4 linked regions of the Drosophila melanogaster genome follow. The protein of the gene in region 3 interacts with the protein of the main gene of each other region in a pairwise test. Each region holds a gene or a part of one and is shown on either strand. Other genes may lie near its edges.

Evidence for each region.
Region 1: the proteins of ND-MNLL (region 3) and CG5114 interact in a two-hybrid assay, tested with the Drosophila melanogaster proteins (one large-scale study listed by BioGRID).
Region 2: the proteins of ND-MNLL (region 3) and CG10559 interact in a two-hybrid assay, tested with the Drosophila melanogaster proteins (one large-scale study listed by BioGRID).
Region 4: the proteins of ND-MNLL (region 3) and Cpr92F interact in a two-hybrid assay, tested with the Drosophila melanogaster proteins (one large-scale study listed by BioGRID).

What each region holds. Positions count from the first base shown.
Region 1 is NT_037436.4:14,981,062-14,985,045, forward strand, and holds CG5114 (uncharacterized protein), read left to right. Parts: upstream 1-1,773; 5' UTR 1,774-1,873; coding exon 1,874-2,789; intron 2,790-2,851; coding exon 2,852-3,059; intron 3,060-3,149; coding exon 3,150-3,363; 3' UTR 3,364-3,425; downstream 3,426-3,984. Other genes in the region: CG3349 (uncharacterized protein), read left to right, coding at 1-1,282.
Region 2 is NT_033777.3:25,313,937-25,318,078, forward strand, and holds CG10559 (uncharacterized protein), read right to left. Parts: upstream 2,181-4,142; 5' UTR 2,169-2,180; coding exon 1,979-2,168; intron 1,923-1,978; coding exon 1,432-1,922; intron 1,365-1,431; coding exon 992-1,364; intron 927-991; coding exon 733-926; 3' UTR 558-732; downstream 1-557. Other genes in the region: CG10553 (uncharacterized protein), read right to left, coding at 2,685-2,869, 2,929-3,295, 3,357-3,841, 3,931-4,138.
Region 3 is NC_004354.4:7,892,528-7,895,634, forward strand, and holds ND-MNLL (NADH dehydrogenase (ubiquinone) MNLL subunit), read right to left. Parts: upstream 1,272-3,107; 5' UTR 1,223-1,271; exon of another isoform or gene 1,061-1,222; intron 1,035-1,060; exon of another isoform or gene 964-1,034; 5' UTR 960-963; coding exon of another isoform or gene 795-959; 5' UTR 774-794; coding exon 603-773; 3' UTR 526-602; downstream 1-525. Other genes in the region: CG45089 (uncharacterized protein), read right to left, coding at 795-959; p115, read left to right, coding at 1,600-3,107.
Region 4 is NT_033777.3:20,667,728-20,673,330, forward strand, and holds Cpr92F (cuticular protein 92F), read left to right. Parts: upstream 1-1,843; 5' UTR 1,844-2,003; coding exon 2,004-2,015; intron 2,016-3,408; coding exon 3,409-4,542; 3' UTR 4,543-5,094; downstream 5,095-5,603.

The sequences.
Region 1 (3,984 bases), on a different chromosome or scaffold from region 3:
ATATATTCAAAAAGAAAAGAGCTTGCGAGAAATGATTTTGAGTTATGTTGGGGATATTGATCTACTAGAAACATCTCTCATGAACCAAACTAAAAAAAGTACTTATTGTGAAGGCGAACAAACACAAATTAAGAATTTAGAACAAATAATAAATGACATAAGACCCGAAAAGTTCCTAGGCGAATTATTAAAACAAATAGAGCCATTAAATGAAAATCTAGCTGAAGCCAATAAAACTATTTCAGATGCAGAAAAGCTGCTCAATTTGGAAAAGGAAAATCTGCAGAAATTAAATTCCTTGTACGGAGAAGAATGGCATCAAAAAAACATATTAAAGGATCTCGAATCGAAAGTAAGCCAATTGGAATATAAAATCAATAACTTGAGCTTGTTGGAAGACGTAAATTGGCCAAAGCTTAGAAAATCCGTGGACGATGTTAATAAAATGTTCGAAAACAGTCCATCATTCTTCGCTAATATAACTGTTATTTCCATGAAAAATGGCATGAAGTTCAAAGGTCAATCAACCTCAGATTTCGCTATCAACCTAAAGAAAAAAAGTGAAGTAAGATTTTGTACAAATGAGTCTATTAAACTAAATGACTACTTGGAAAAAATTGAAAAGGATAAAAATAAAATTGTCGCTTATTATAATCAGCAAGAAAATGTTGTCAGAGCGCATTTTAACGAACTTTTAGACAAGGAAAAAGAACTGAAATATCATAGCCCGAAAAGCTTAACCTTGAAAAAAAGTGACATGACTTATAAAGTTGATCCATCTGTTTCAAGCACGAGCTCATTACAACTAGATATTAATCAATTGGAAAAAGATATAGACAACTTAACAGAGAATGGGATCGAAAAATTTGAGAGGCAACTGCAATATACCCGATTAAAATTCGAAATGGACAAGCAACAAATTGATCGCAAACTCGAAGAACAGCTAAGAAATATTAATCTTTTCAGAGAGGAGATGAAAAGGGAAGAAAATCTAATCGCAGAACGTTTAGCTAAATTAGACACGCCGAAGGAATATGACGAAAAACTAAGTAAGCTTGAGGCTGAAGCCATGGATTTTCCAAAACAAATAGCGAATTCCGAAAAAACACTTTTGGACCAAATCGCTTCGCTACAACAGCAAATAAAAACCCTGGAAAAGGAGGCGGAGAATACTGAACATAGAGCCGATCTATGCGATGCTGAATGTGATTTTGGTGATCTAGATTCTATTGATGAATTGATGAATAGAGTTCAGGCTGTCAAAAATAAATTAAATAATTGAAATTCAAAGATAGTCATGATGCTTTAAAGCCAATATAGTAATAATACCATATAATATTAATATATACTAAGCATTAATTTAAGTACTTGCTTAATGACATTTTTAACATCGTTAAATATAATTAAGCTTTAAGAACATCTTTTGTTCATTTGTGCATAAGGATCAAACAAACGCAAAGTAAAAACAAATTTCAATACATCTTAGGTCAAACCTATAAACCTTTACTTTAGAGTTCCTAATCGGCTTCCTCGTTATTGCAATTTGTTGTTGCATTAAATGAATTAAAAATAACACCCCCAAAATATAGTTTGATTTTATCATGAAACCTGCTTACGTTTTACTACCAAGATGAACGTGTCAGCATAGCCCGCTTCAATTTGAAAATTCCGCTCAATTTTTGACATTTGGCAACACTGTATTTTGGCTAAAAAAATAATCGACGAAGTCGATAGTCCCAACAAGCAATCGATGTTTAAAAAACATTGGCGAACGAGTTGCCAGACCATTGATTTTCTAGCACGTGTGATACATTCATTTAATTGTTATTTTTATGCAGCTTAACTTGCTATTTGGACCATTAAGAGAATAGGAATGCGTGACAACACACCGCCACACCGGCCAGATTTCGATGACGGCGACGACGAACTCCAGGAGATAATTGAGCTGGAGGAGCAGCCGCTGGACGAAGATGACGACGATTTGGAGGAGGTGACGCTGGAGCAACTGGAGGCCCGGCTTGCAATGGCCGGTGGCGATGATGATGAAGAGGAGGACGAGGAGGAGCTACGTGACCGTGAGAGAATAGCAGCCATCACGGACGAAGCTACGGTCACTTTCAAGAAGCACACCGCTCCTGTTTTCGCCTGCAGTCTGCATCCCAACTACAATTGGGCGGTGACGGGCAGCGAGGACGATCGAGCTTTCGTTTGGGAAACCTCCACCGGCGATGTCCTCTACGAGATCACGGAGCACAAGGACACCGTCACGGAAACGCATTTCAGTCACGACGGCGTCTATTTGGCCACCGGTGATCTAGCCGGCGATCTGTTTGTCTTCAAGGTCAGTGAAAAGCACGACGAACGTCCGATCCTGACTAAAATCTGGGAGTACTCCATGAGCGACATGTCCTGGCTCTTCTGGCATCGAGCTGCCCACATCCTGCTGGCGGGTAGTGACAGCGGAGAGGTCTTCGTTTTCCGCATACCCAGCGGTGAATGCAAAATCCTGCCGGGACAATCTTCGCGTTGCGAGTCCGGAGAGCTCAGTGGGGATGGCAAAAAGCTGTTCACGGCCTACGTGAACGGATCCGTAAAGCTGTGGGATCTCAAGAGCTGTCAGGTGCTCATTGACGTAAACGAATCGCATCCAATGGGTTTCGGCGAGATCACGCACGCGGTGGTGGCCTGCGAAAGGGAATCGCCCTTCTACGTCTGCGCTGAGGCGTCCGGTGAGTGCTCCAGTGGTAAAGGAATTCGGTATAATACCAGTTTCCATAACAAAACTATTAGTAAAAGCAATCATGTTCTCCATTGCATATAAACGGCAACTAATAGATTTATTTTCGTTCAGGAAAAATGCTGTTCTGCACTAACAACGGTCCGGTTAGCACAATCCAGTCGGAACACGGAATTGAGTGTCTGGCCTTTGCTCCCTCCTCGGCGGATCTAAAGCTCTTTGCCTGTGGCTCGCTGGACGGCAGGATATCCATCTGGGACTATGCCAAATCAGCGTTGCGTACCATATGCGAAAATCCAGTTCCCAATGATGCTGTCATAAGGTGAGCACCGCATAAAACTGTAAAAAATATTATAACTTTGATTTAACTTTTAATTTGGTTGTTGCTTACTAATTGCATTAATTATTCCAGGATCAAATGGTTGAACGACCACACGATACTTGCGGCCACCTCGCAGGGAAATCTGAACGCATTCGACGCACGCACAGGAATTCTGAAATTCACGCTGACGGGACACTACTATCACATCTACGAGTTTGTCTACAAGCCTCAGGAAAATCTATTGCTAACGGTATCCGAGGACAACACGGCCAAGATATTCAAGGTGCCGGCGCTGGGCGATTAGTTAGGTTTTAAAGTTTTGTACTGTGCTATATATATGTAAATAGTAAATACATATTAAAATTTATCTCAGTAGCCTGGTGCAATGAACCCATGTGGCGGTCCTGATACACTTGCCCCATATATGTACAAGAAAAAGGGGGGAGGCACAGGGCTGACTAAAGATAGAACACACAAAGAAGGTTACAGTTTGGGGTAACAAAATAGAACTGAAAAGGATTCCGGTTTTTTTGCATTGTGTCAAGAATATTATACTATTTGAAGTTTTTGTAAATTGGTAAGGAAATTTAATTTCATGCTGTCAATTTGGGTTAGGAAAAGAATTATTGTTTTTTAACTTTTTAATGGGTCAGAACTATGGTTTTAATCGGAAGCGTATATGAGAAGTAAGTGCATTCTAAATGCAACTGCAACGAATTCTCTTCAATATCTGGTTCTCTTAGGGAGAATGTGACATGCGTATTGCATTGGGAGCACATCCAAAGAGACAAACACTTGTTTATGTTTTTGTTTGTCGGTTGTCGTTCACCTCCGACATCCACACACATACACGCACACAAAGGCGAACAATTGTCTAAAAAATGAAAACGAATTTTCAGATTTACATATTTATTTACCTTTCTGT
Region 2 (4,142 bases), on a different chromosome or scaffold from region 3:
GTTCGCCAAAACCGGCAAAAGAGTGGCAATTGGCGTTGGCGAGAGTGGGTGCGCGATAGCGTGCCCGAGCGAGAGGTGTGTGATATATGATATAGAGACGCAAACACCGTCAATTGTTTGATTGATAACGAAAACAGTTTCTTGTTCCCGCTCCTGATTCGACTTCCATATCGGGATCGGGCACCCGAGTTCCTCTTTGCGCTCGCCATTCGCTCTAATTATTTCGTGATTCCTCATTAATTGGTGTTTTTGGGCGTGACATGTGATGGGTAGATAGACAGTTCACCATCGGTTTCCGCACGAGCACCACGCACTCAATAAACAATTATTTGAATATTATTAATCCTACAAAATGCTGGTCTATATGGGTACCAAACGGCATTTTGATTATCTTTGATTGTGCTTTAATGGGGCAGTTATGTTTTGTTTTATTATTAGGCCTGGCTAGTACAAAGCGGCTAGAAGTTAAATATATTTTCACATACTCATCATTTAAAAACAAAAGTGTGCTTATGAGATTATGTTTACCATCCGTCTAATGAGAAACTTCTATACTTCACTGAATAATCATTGCTCAGTTACAAGCATATTTTATTCTTAAAATTCGTGCATTAGTATTTTATTGAAAGCAGTACATTTTATATGTCATGGTATTACAAATTTTCTTTCCCAGAGAACGTTAGGAATCACTTTAGCAATAGTATTCTTTATATATATATAATGTATAGCGAACTAGCACTGGAAGGCCCCTCGATTGTTCAACCATTTGAGAATGGCGCTAACGTGCTTCTTATATCGGGCATTGGAGTACATAGCCAACTTTAGACCATCGCCATTATCCGTCTCGGTGACGAAATCGGTCAGATTTGCATCTTCAGTCCGATCGAGCAGCACTGGTGGGCAGAGAATAAAAGCAATGTGATACCCTACGATTGGAAAAGAAATCAGAACTTGGTTATCTACAGCTTTGCAGAGCGAGGTTTCCACTTACCAACTCGTCCATATTTCAATAGCTGAGTATGGAGGAACCCCAACGTGGGGGTTTTTGCTTCGGGGTAGTTCAGCATTCTCAAGTGCTCGACCAGGTGATCGTGGTAGTACTTGATGAAGTAATCGAACTGACTCAATTGGATTTCGAATTTCGTCGAGCCCAGGAGGAAATAGATCAGATCATATGCCACGCTCGTGACCTTGGGCAGTTGGAGATCCACGAAATATGTCTCGATCGGTTCGGGCGACTCGTCCTCGTACTTAAACATGATGTTGCTGGTCCAGCAATCTCCATGATTCAGAGCATTGAAGTCCTGCGGATCGGGCGTGTTCATAGCATACATAAGGTCGACGATTTTAGGTTGCATCTTGTGCTGTACAAATAGATTATTTTGTGATGAACCGTGCAACCAATTGGTGCATATAGCTAAAGAAACATACAACCGCCGCACTGTACTCCTCGTAACCCTCGTAGAGTGGCAGGCACTTGAGGAAATACTTGCCCAAGGTTTCAGCCACCTGTTCGATGCTCTCCTTCATGGTATCGGCGTACGTGGGTTGCAAGTAGTTCTGGGGGTACGGACCCTTGAGATGGATCCTGGTGGCCGATACCGCATGCCACTGGGCCATCTTCTTTAGAACACACTTGGTGTGAACCATGTCTAGGCCCTCCAGGCGATCGACGTTCCTGAAACCCAAAGGACCCAGATCCTGCAGAAGTACGTAATCATCGGGCGCGTCGATTTCATAAGCCTTGGCCCCAAACTTGACCTCCACGCCCACATCCTTGTACATCTGTTCCAGCTCGGGAATCACCTGAATGAACACATCCCTCTCCACAGCAAACATGTTGTTCTTCCTCAGAATCTCGCGATACATCTCGAAATCATAGGGAGTCTTCAGCATATAGCTCACATTTTCGATTGTGTGATCTGATGATGGAAATTTCTGCTTGACTTTCCATTGTTCACCTGTGACTCACACTCACCCTGCAGTTCGACTTCAAGCTTGAGGCGCAGCATAATTGTGGAGTAGTTTTCTCCCGGCTTGAGCCCGGCTTCCGGCTTGAAACTTTTGATTCCGGCATAATTGCCGCCGTAACGTTTACTTAGCAATTCTTCGAATAGATTTGCTCTCAGCCAGGTGGGCATAGGCGCTGTTCCTGTCTCAGCCGTCATTCTAAGCAAACTAAGAGTTTATTTGCCGGCTGGTCCCGTACAAACATGTGAGCAAAACTTTTTTTCTCTGTATCTTTGTTTGCTACCAAAACAAATGCCAATACGAAAGCTCCAAAAGCTTGTCGGAAAACAAAGAGAGTGCTGGATATGGAGAGTTCTCAAAACAACTTGTTTTCAAAGTCTCGAGTGATACATACATATAGACCAAAACAAACGTGGGGGGATGCATTTATACCCATATAGAAGCTTGTCTGTCATATAAGTGTAAGTATTTAAAGACAATAAAAATAATTGTATGACCATAAAAAAAAATGCTTATAACTATACTTATAGTTATATTTACCTATATGTAAACTCCGGAACAAGTTTTTTATTAACCACAATGTTTGTTAAACACTAGTTAGGTCTTTATTAGATATTACACAATATGCTACTTCTACTATACTGTATATATAAACCTTGAGTGTAATTTTTTCGTTATACGCCATACGATTTAATATTGTGCATTCTAAGTATCTATTCCATAGCTCCGCGATGCTGAAGCCATGGCAATAGAACCTCCATATGTTTGCGAAATCTGGGATTAATGTATAGCGAGTTCTTAAAGCTACAGTCGTCATCACCAAGAACCTTATCAAAATCGGCTCCGTCCACGGGATCCAGGAGGACATATGCCAATATAGTTGCGGTGCAGATGAACGCTGAAATGTTTTTTTTTATAAGATCTGAACTAATGATTAAGTAACGATTGAAAACTTACACCATCCACTGTATTTGTTGAGAGCGTCGTTAATTCTTCTTAAAGTGGGAAGAGTTTTCGAATATCCAAGCAATTTCAGATGCTTTACCAATTCGGAGTGGTAAAACCATATGAAGTAATCAAACTTTGATGTTTTTATGTCCAAGCTTGTAGAGGACAAAAGAAAGTAGTATAGATCCTGGGTCACTGATCCCCACTTAGGGACTTGCAGATCGACAAAGTAGGTATCCTGTATCTCGCCTTTCGTATTGTACTGGGACATAATGTTGTTGGCCCAACCATCGCCATGGTTTAACGCAATAAATTCATCAGGACTCGGATTGTTGAGGCTCTCCACAATTTCGAATGTCTTGCCGGAGACAATGCGCTGTAATTAATGATAAGATAGAAGACTTGAAGATACGAATATCAAAAGATAAATTACCCACCAGATCATTTAGATAAGTTTCGTAACCCTTGCACAGATGGACGTTATCCAGAAAAACTTTTATGCTCCGATTAATAAAGGCATCTACGATTTCCTCGTTCCTTAAAAAACCCTTTGTGTACTTCTCCTGATAAGGACCCTTTGTTTCTACGCGAACGGCAGAGGCCGCATGCCATTGGGCAAATTTCTTGAGAACACATTCGGTGTGAGCCTGGTCCATGCCTTCGAGGCGATCTATGTTCCCGAATCCACGTGGCCGAAGATCCTCCAGCAGGACGTAGTAGTCGCTGGCCTCTATGTCGTAGAGTTCAGCTCCAAATTTGACCTCCAATCCCACATCGCGATACAGTTGCTCCAGCTCGGGCACTACTTCCACATACATTCCTCGCTCCACATCGAAGATATCTGTCTTCTCGATTACTTTACGATACTGCTCTGACTGATGGGGAGTTTTAAGCATAAATGCCTTGGTTGTTTGAGTGTTATCTGCAAGGTTTACAATAATTGAAAGATAATTTCAGTTCAAATACGCTGATACCCTAATTCATTAGTCCTATAGAATGAATTTAACGAACCTTCTTTCTCAACATCCAGTTCAATTCTAAGCATTACGGTGGCATAGTTTTCGCCAGCAGCGACTCCTGCATTTGCCCTCATGGATTTCGTTGCTTTGTAATCCTTGACAATCCTTTTAAGCAGCTCCTCAAAGACTGTTGGCTTAACCCAATCCGGAATGGTGACCTGTTTTTGGCTAACATCCTCATCCTTTGTCTGGGGATGCATCTTG
Region 3 (3,107 bases):
TACTGGAAGCAGTTACATAGTACATATAGGCATGGTCGTGCAAATGAAAGTTTTTAGGGGGCTCATGCTTATAAAAGTTTTTTTTTTCTATTAATTCTTAAAAATCTCGATTCACATGTATTAGATAATTCAATGCCATTTAACGAAACTCATTTAAAAAGACTACTCTCGGTTACCACATTTCAAGTGATTTATGTGACATGCTCAAGAAGTTCTACAATAAATAATAAGAGTTTTGGTAGAATACACCAATGCTCTTCTAAAATATCCAGCCTACGCCCCTGATCCGAACTAAGCAGAACTCGCATATCGTGCAGCGATGCCCAGGTAAAATCCTTCGAAAAACGAGTTATCTCCTTGGATTTTTCATTGGTTTTCGGCTTATCGTTAGACGTGTGTTGAGGTTTTTATGTTTTTCCTGAGTAAAACAAACAATGGTACGCAATCCTTCACAAATAAATCACGTTCCCGACCGCAAATCTCGTCCGCTGGCCATGCAGGTAAACTAGACGACAGGCGTATTTCACATTTCTCCGGTTTATTGAATAACAGTGAATTGGGGGAAAAAAAATAATATTTTGGGATGGCGATGTTGGGCAGGCCTACCAGGATGGCGCCTTACCCTCGCTGCCGGCGGGACGGCCGTATAGGGCACTCTTGTCCCGGAACATGGTCATACGTTCCGTTTCCTTCTTGTCCAGGAAGTGGCCAATGGCAAATCCCAGCAGGGGCAACGCGCCCCACAGTGCTCGCTTATCCAGTCCCAAGACCATGGTGTATATTTGTGTATCCTCTTAGCGCTGATCCTTCAGCTGGGCTCGGTGTGCCAACTGGAGCTGCTGGCGTTTCCACTGGCGGGTGTGCGACCAATCTGCGTAAATCGATCCGACTGCAACAGTGGGAAAGAATATCACTGCGCCGTACTTTCGAGCCAATTGAACCACAATCCCACTGCCCATAGGTCTGCAAGACAAGCACAGGAGATGGCGAGATTTACATATGATTTACACAAATTGATGTGGGGATTGTTATGTTATGGGTTGACATTTTGCCGCATTACGTAATAAAAACGAGTGATTTCTCCCAGCGTCGTGATAACTGTGTTGATATTTTTGAGAACTTCTTACGCCGCGTGTGTGGAACGCTTTATATTGTATTTTTTGGGATTCTCTCGTTTAGTTTTAAACACAAATTTGCTAAATTAGTTTTGTTTTCAACTTACTTATAGCATCGATAGCACCAGGGCTGTCGAGTCGTTTTTAGTTTAATAAAATTTTGGCAGTAAGACTATCGCCGACAGGGATGCCACTCAGCTTAAGTCCCGACGTCAGCTAGAAAGTAGCAATATTTTATGTAATTCAAAAAAAAGTTTTAGATTATCAAAAAAGTGTAAATATAGGTAATTACACAAACATGGTCAAATATGGTAAATTGTAATTCTAAAAATATATTTAATATATTTAAAGACAAGCCGCTTATCGATAAGTGGGCGTCTATCGGACTTTAGCCATCGCTAAGCCGCCCGTCAATTGTTTTCATGAATTGACGTGTCTTGTTGAATGCGAAAAAACCCAGAATAGACCGTAAACACACACTCGCATGGAGTTCCTGAAGAGTGGCATCAAAACGGTGCTGGGCAGCACGGAGCCGGGTCAGCAGCCGAGTGCCGCCGAGACGGTGGAGAAGCTGGTGGACCGTGTCTACTCCTCAACGCTCCTGGAGGATCGACGGGATGCCTGCCGAGCGCTAAAAGCCCTGTCCCGCAAGTACCGCATCGAGGTGGGCGCACAGGGCATGCCTCCGCTGGTCCAGGTGCTCCAGAACGACGGACAGGATGCAGAGATCATCAGCTATGCGCTGGACACACTGTGCAACGTGGTTACTAGCGAGGAGTTCGACGAGGAGGCTGATAATCCCACCGTTTCGGTGAATGTGGGCGAGCAGTTCACGGAGATGTTCATCAAGACACCGGAGCATGTAACCCTGGTAATGGGCTATCTGGACGAATACGATTTTCGAGTGCGTCGCGCTGCCATCCAACTGATTACGTCCCTCATTTCGAACAAGACGCGGGAGCTGCAGGATTTGATTCTGGTCAGTCCGATGGGCGTTTCCAAGCTGATGGATCTGCTGACGGACAGCCGCGAAGTGATTCGCAACGATGTCCTTCTGCTGCTTATCGAACTGACCAAGGGCAACTCAAACATCCAAAAGATTGTGGCCTTTGAGAATGCCTTTGACCGCCTTTTTGAAATTGTCCGTGAGGAGGGCTGTTCGGATGGCGGAATTGTTGTGGAGGATTGCCTAATTCTGCTATTGAATCTTCTCAAGAACAACTCCAGTAATCAGCAGTTCTTTAAGGAGGGCAGCTATATCCAGCGATTGTCGCCAATGTTTGAGCTCTCACAGGATGCGGAAGAGGTTGGCTGGTCGCCACAGAAGGTCTCAAACTTCCATTGTCTGCTGCAGGTGGTGCGGGCACTGGTCACGCCCAGTAATCAACAGCAGGTGGTGGCCGCCTGCCAGCGGGTCATGCAAAAGTCTCGACTGCTCCATGCTCTTTGCGAGATTCTGATGAGCAGTGGTGTCCCTGCGGATATACTCACGGAAACCATCAATGCAGTGGCCGAAGTGGTGCGCGGCGATCGGGACAACCAGGATGAATTGGGAAGAGTTATGGCTCCGAGCAGTCCACCCAGACCTGCCATCGTGGTCCTTCTTATGTCCATGATCAATGAGAAACAACTGCTGGCACTGCGTTGCGCCGTACTCTACTGTTTCGAGTGCTTTCTTTATCGCAATGCCGATGGCCAGCGGGCGGTTGTACAGACCCTGCTGCCCTCCAGTGCGTCCGATGTGAGTGCCCTTTCGACGGGACAACTCCTTTGCACCGGACTCTTCTCCACAGATGCGCTTGCCAACTGGTTCTCCGCTGTGGCCCTAATGCACTCACTCGTAGAGAATGTCGCCCTAAAGGAGGAACTACTGCGCGTACTGCTGGCCACTCCTGGTGGCCAAAAGCCTATCACGCTACTCGAGCAGTGCACTAATCTCATGCAGCAGGAACGCTACCGTTTGCAAAGCAAGGTGGGTCTGCTAATGCTACT
Region 4 (5,603 bases), on a different chromosome or scaffold from region 3:
AATGGAGCTGGATTGGATCGGGTCGGGTTGGAGCTGAAGCTGAAGGTGGCTGAAGGTGGGCACCTCGACAAATCCACAAATGTGTGGATTGCACTTGAGCCAGTCGAGGCATTCATTCAGGCAGTCGGCCCACAGCTGTCGACAGTGGGCCGAGCTAATAAAATGAAAACAAAAGTGGCACCGGCAAAAAATATAATTTATAATGTTGCGCATACCGCAAAAATGTCAAACACGCCCCAAACCGATCGCCCGCCCGCGCATAAAAACAACAACAACAGCACATGCGGGTTCAAAAGAGCAGTTTGAAGTTGGTTTGGTTTATTCAAATTAAATTGGTGGCAGGCAAAGGCAAACAAATTAAGTTGCCGATACGAACTCAAGAATATGGAGTGTGCCATATAGACTATAAACGAGTATATAGGCGCATATAGCCAACCGCCCTCCCGATTTCGCTTATCGAATGCAAATAATCAAAGTTAGCCAGGGTGCAAGCACTCATTATATTGCAACGGACAAGAGAGGCTCACTGCTGCACTTGCAGAAAAAATGCAATCGGATTTCGGATACGGAATCGAAATTCATTACATTAAATTATATTTATTTCTTTATGTATATATATATATTTATATGTTTAACTGAGCTATAAAAAAATAATAACATTTTGGGGAAAAAAAATCATCTCTTCTCTTTAATAACTAAGATACTCAATAATTGTTAAGAAGTTGGGATATTCAACTAAGATACATACAAAAATTAGTTACAACAGCATTTCTTTCGAAATCGTTCACTCACCTAGCATTCGACGAATATCATTTTCTCTTCTTAGGGATTATTCTTAGTTAAGGATAGCTCATTCTAAGTTAAATAATTTTGATTTTCCGAGTGCATGAGTGCATTTGGGAGTGCAACATCTAGATTAGCGGACAGCAAAGAAATGCTGCAACATGTGGCAACAGCGGTGGCCAAAAGTGAATAGAAAATCCATTTTGCTGTCTTTTGTTTTCCGCTTGCTTCTTTGGGCAGTGCTCTTGTTTCTCCTTTTTTTTTAATTTGCAAAGTTTTCGTTTCGTTTTCCGATGCAGTTCAATGATTAAAGAGGCAAACGCCCAGAAATTGGCCAGCTCACATTTCGTTATGGCCACCATTGGGGCATGTTGCAAGCGGTGGGTAAGAATTTTTTAATTTGATCGAGCGTTGCGCTTGGGGCGGGGCTCTTGGGCGTTTTTTGGAAAGGCACTGATCGATAAGATCGGCCTAATCCCGTGGCCAAATAATGAGTGCTAATTGTCCGCACCGCGGAAGTCAAAGAACTAGCACCCGAAACAACACCAAATAAAATACATTAATCGCCTAATGTTGAAGCCAGGTTGAAACCAATACCGGCAATTAAATCGCGTTGAAAGCAAGGTCATGGCAGCTGTGATTTTTTCCACAGTGACAAACGCAGCGCGGAAACGCACGAGCAACATGTTGCCAGTGCAACTGCAGGCCAGCAACATGCTGCAGCGGCACTCCACTGCAAGCGATTGATACACATTCTTCGGCTGCGATATCCACTTCGGCTCTGGCCAAACCCCGCTTCGAGCCCCGATTAAAGTGGTAATTCGATTACTCTGGAACTGGTACCACACATTGTTCTGCTCTTGCTCTCGTTGGCTTTTGTTGGCTTTTGTTGAACGCCCGATATTGCTGGTGTTGCGGTGTTTTCGCTGCTGTTACCAATGTTGCGCATGCGCCGGCGTCTCAGCCGGAGTCTCGGCTGCAGTGTCTCTGCTCCCCAATCCCCAGTCTCCGGGCTCGCTGGTCTCGGGCGGTATATATTAGGGCCGCCAGCCAGCAGTCAGCACAGTTCGTTAACAGTCCTAGTCGTGGTTCTAGGAGGTTCAACCAGCGTCCAGCGACCAGTGCCTGTGCCCGTGTGTCGTGTGTAGTTAGTTTTCCGTTCATCCGCAGTGTGTCCCCGAAACTCCTTTTCGAAGCTCAATCGTGTGATCATAGCTAAAATGAAGCCATTCGTAAGTATGCGCCATGGGATCGAAAGGATAACGCCGAGCAAGAGGATTAAAGTTATAAATAATATGAGTTGGAGTGTGTAGATTACCGTGAGGAGAAAAGGATATTTGGATTCCGTGCTTGAATTACTGAGATACATTTCTAACTTTTTCTGTTCTACAAATTAGTGATTAACGTCTCTGCATGTAATTTATTTTTCTTAAAGTTACAAAATTTTACCATAAAAGTGGGCAAAAGTTCATTTAATTGATTGATTCTATCATGAAATGCTTAAGTTCATTAAAATCGTAGTTTAATGGAACTATGTAAGTCCACAGCCAGGTTTCGCTAGTTAGAACTGCTTTTTCATTTTCGATCTTTGGGATATGTTAATCGGTATCAAGAGAGAAGTGTGGCATACCAAATCTTTAAATTGGATTTTGTCAGCCGTTCGAAAAGTAAACACTAGTTTGACAGTGACTTGCCATTAAGTTTGAATGAATTCCTGGCATTCTTTTAATCTGTCATAGCGCAATTAATTTAAAATTCAACTGACATTGCTTTTGTAAACTCAATTTATTTCGCTTAAATTCCGCTCCGAACGAAATGGCACCTGTGCATCGTTCAGTTCCATCCGAGAGTCAATTACCATGGCACGTCATGCTAAACGTACCACCCAGCAAACCATCAGCTGCCATGGAACTCCGTGCGAAATCCCGTTGATAAGCCGCTGACATGTTGCATGTCGGACAGTTTATTCAACCGTTTTTCCACCACTTTCTGCCCCACTCACCTGCTGACACATAATATCGTACATAATCGCGCCGCATGCGGTAATATCTTCGAACGAATATTGGCCGACCGACCGACTACTGACTACATATCTCGGAATCAAATCTAACGGTTGCGCTTCGCGGCTCTGAAAAGCGAAACCATTGGAAAAGCGAATCCAGAGGAGAAGCGAGTCCAGGAGAAAAGCGAAAAGATGGGCGTGTGGGGCAAGAAAAGCGAGAGGAAAACGCTGGCGCAAGAGCAAGAAAAGCGAAAAGCCTGTAATTAGGTTAGCAGAGGCGGCTTATAAGCTTCCACTGAGTGACACCTGCGATTAACGATTTTGGGCGGTGGCTACCGCACGAGTAATTATTGAGCAGTCACATAATCCCACGCCTAACACCTTCTGCACTGTGAGAAACATGTAGAAGCTATATGTTAAATAATTTGAAATATTCAAAGAGATGAAGGTACAAAAGTTCTCTAATCGGAATTCAACATAGGCAAAATCAAAAAGATTTTTAATTATTATTATATATATATTTAATATATAAAAATCAGTTCTGTAAAGCTATATTGAAATTTGTTAGTTTTTTTTATCAGCTACATCAAAATTACAAAAAATAATTTCCCATTTTTATTTAGTTTATTGCCGCAGCGTTGCTGATCTCGACGGTGTCCGCCTCTTGGCACGGAGCCGTCTCCACACAGTACCAGCACCTGGACCCGCACAGCCACACCTACTCCTACGGATACGCCGATCCCAACTCACAGAAGCACGAGACGCGAAGCCATGACGGCACCACGCACGGCTCCTACTCCTACGTGGATGGTCACGGTCATGTGCAGTCGGTGTCCTACACCGCTGATCCGCACCATGGCTTCAACGCCGTGGGCACCAACCTGCCTCAGGCTCCTCAAGTTCATGCCGCTCCCGTTTACGCTGCCGCCCACGCCCATGGCGCCTATGCTCCTTACGCCCACGGACCCATCCACATCCCGGTGCTGACCCACGGAGGCGTCCCCGTCGATACTCCCGAAGTGCAGCACGCCAAGGCCGCCCATGCCGCTGCCCACGCTGCTGCCGCCCACAATGCCGGAGGACACCACCTGTACAAGCGGTCTATTTACGGCGGAGGATGGGCCTACGGACAAGCCGCCCATGTGCCGCTGACTCATGGAGGTGTGCCCGTTGATACTCCCGATGTGCAGGCCGCCAAGGCCGAGCACTATGCCGCCCACGCCAAAGCCCTTGGCCATGTAGCTCATGCCCACGGTGCTCCCGTTGAGACACCCGAGGTGCAGCACGCCAAGGCTGCGCACTTTGCCGCCCATGCTGCCGCCCGTTCTGGACATGCCGTTTCCCCCATTAACCACGGTGGCTATCACGTGCCGGTAATCCACAATGGAGTACCCGTCGATACGCCCGAGGTGCAGCATGCCAAGGCCGCCCACTACGCCGCCCTGTCCCAGGCCTCCGCCCACGGAGGAGCCTCGCATGGATCCTGGGATGATGGCAGCTACGACGGACGCTGGGAACAGAGCCACAGCAGCCACAACAGTTACGCCTCCGGCTATGCGCACAAGGGACCCATCCACATCCCGGTCATCCACAACGGAGTGCCCGTGGAGCCTGCCGAGGTGCAGCACGCCCGTGCCGCGCATCTGAATGCGTTGGCCGCCGCCGGACATGGAGCTCCCGCCAGCCATGGTAGCTACTACGGTGGCAATGGACACGAGGATGATGGCCAGTACCACGCGCACTATGACCACTATTAAGTGACGAGTGGTCGGCACTTGAGAGAAGTTTAACTTCCGATCGACGACGAGCATCTCTATACACTCTGACTAACCGACTACCGAAGCCAGCGTGGCGTATGCGTAACGTTGCATTGCGTATTCGCTCGCCAGTGCCACTTTTATACAGCATTCGCAACTCTCTGTCTTTCTATACATTTATCTGTTCTATTACTGCTTCTATTTCTTAACCTCTGTCACAAAAACACACGGAAAACTGAAAGCTACTACACACGGGAGATTGAAGTGCTTCGTTAGAAGCCTTCCTTGCCCGCTGGGTTTTGACCGATTTGGATTTTCGATCCAGTCACAGCACACACATCTCTACCTACCTACCTACATACTTCTCTCTGTACTAGGATTTTCCCTCATTTTTTATCTATATCTTTATCCTCCTGTTACTTCGATTGAGAAACGCTGTATGAGTATGTTGTAAATAACAGTTGTAATCTTTATGTATCTGACCAGATATAGATCTATATTTTATATGAACATGCAAACAGACAAATAAACTGCAAAAATGTATTTGATCACAATTTGAAGTGTTTGGAACTGGTGGTGGGATTGTGGTATTAAGAATTTAAAATCAAAGCCCCAGGATGCAATGTTAACTTACTTCTTGAGATAAGCTTTTAAATTTTGTTGGTAAAAAGCGCAGCCCTAAATAATTAGATAAATATTTCGCTTTACATTTTTCAACATATATATATAAATTAGTTACTTTTTTAATTTAATCAATGATTTCTGTTAAAATATTTCAAAATTTGCTAAGGCTCCTAGACAAAAATTAAAACACTTTTTAGGCTTATTAGATTTAAATTCAATCGAACTTATTGTATTTAAAGTTGGAATTGAAAATTCATCTTCATCCTGAAGATAAAATTCCACATTTAATGATTTTTCTGATGTTTTGTCATGTTAATTAAAAGGCCATCCAGTTTTGGGGCTTCGCATCCATTTACTTTAAACTCTGTTGCATATTTCCCAGTCTCAGGTCAAATGCCGCACCACCCAGAACAACCATCTAAACCACCACTGATACC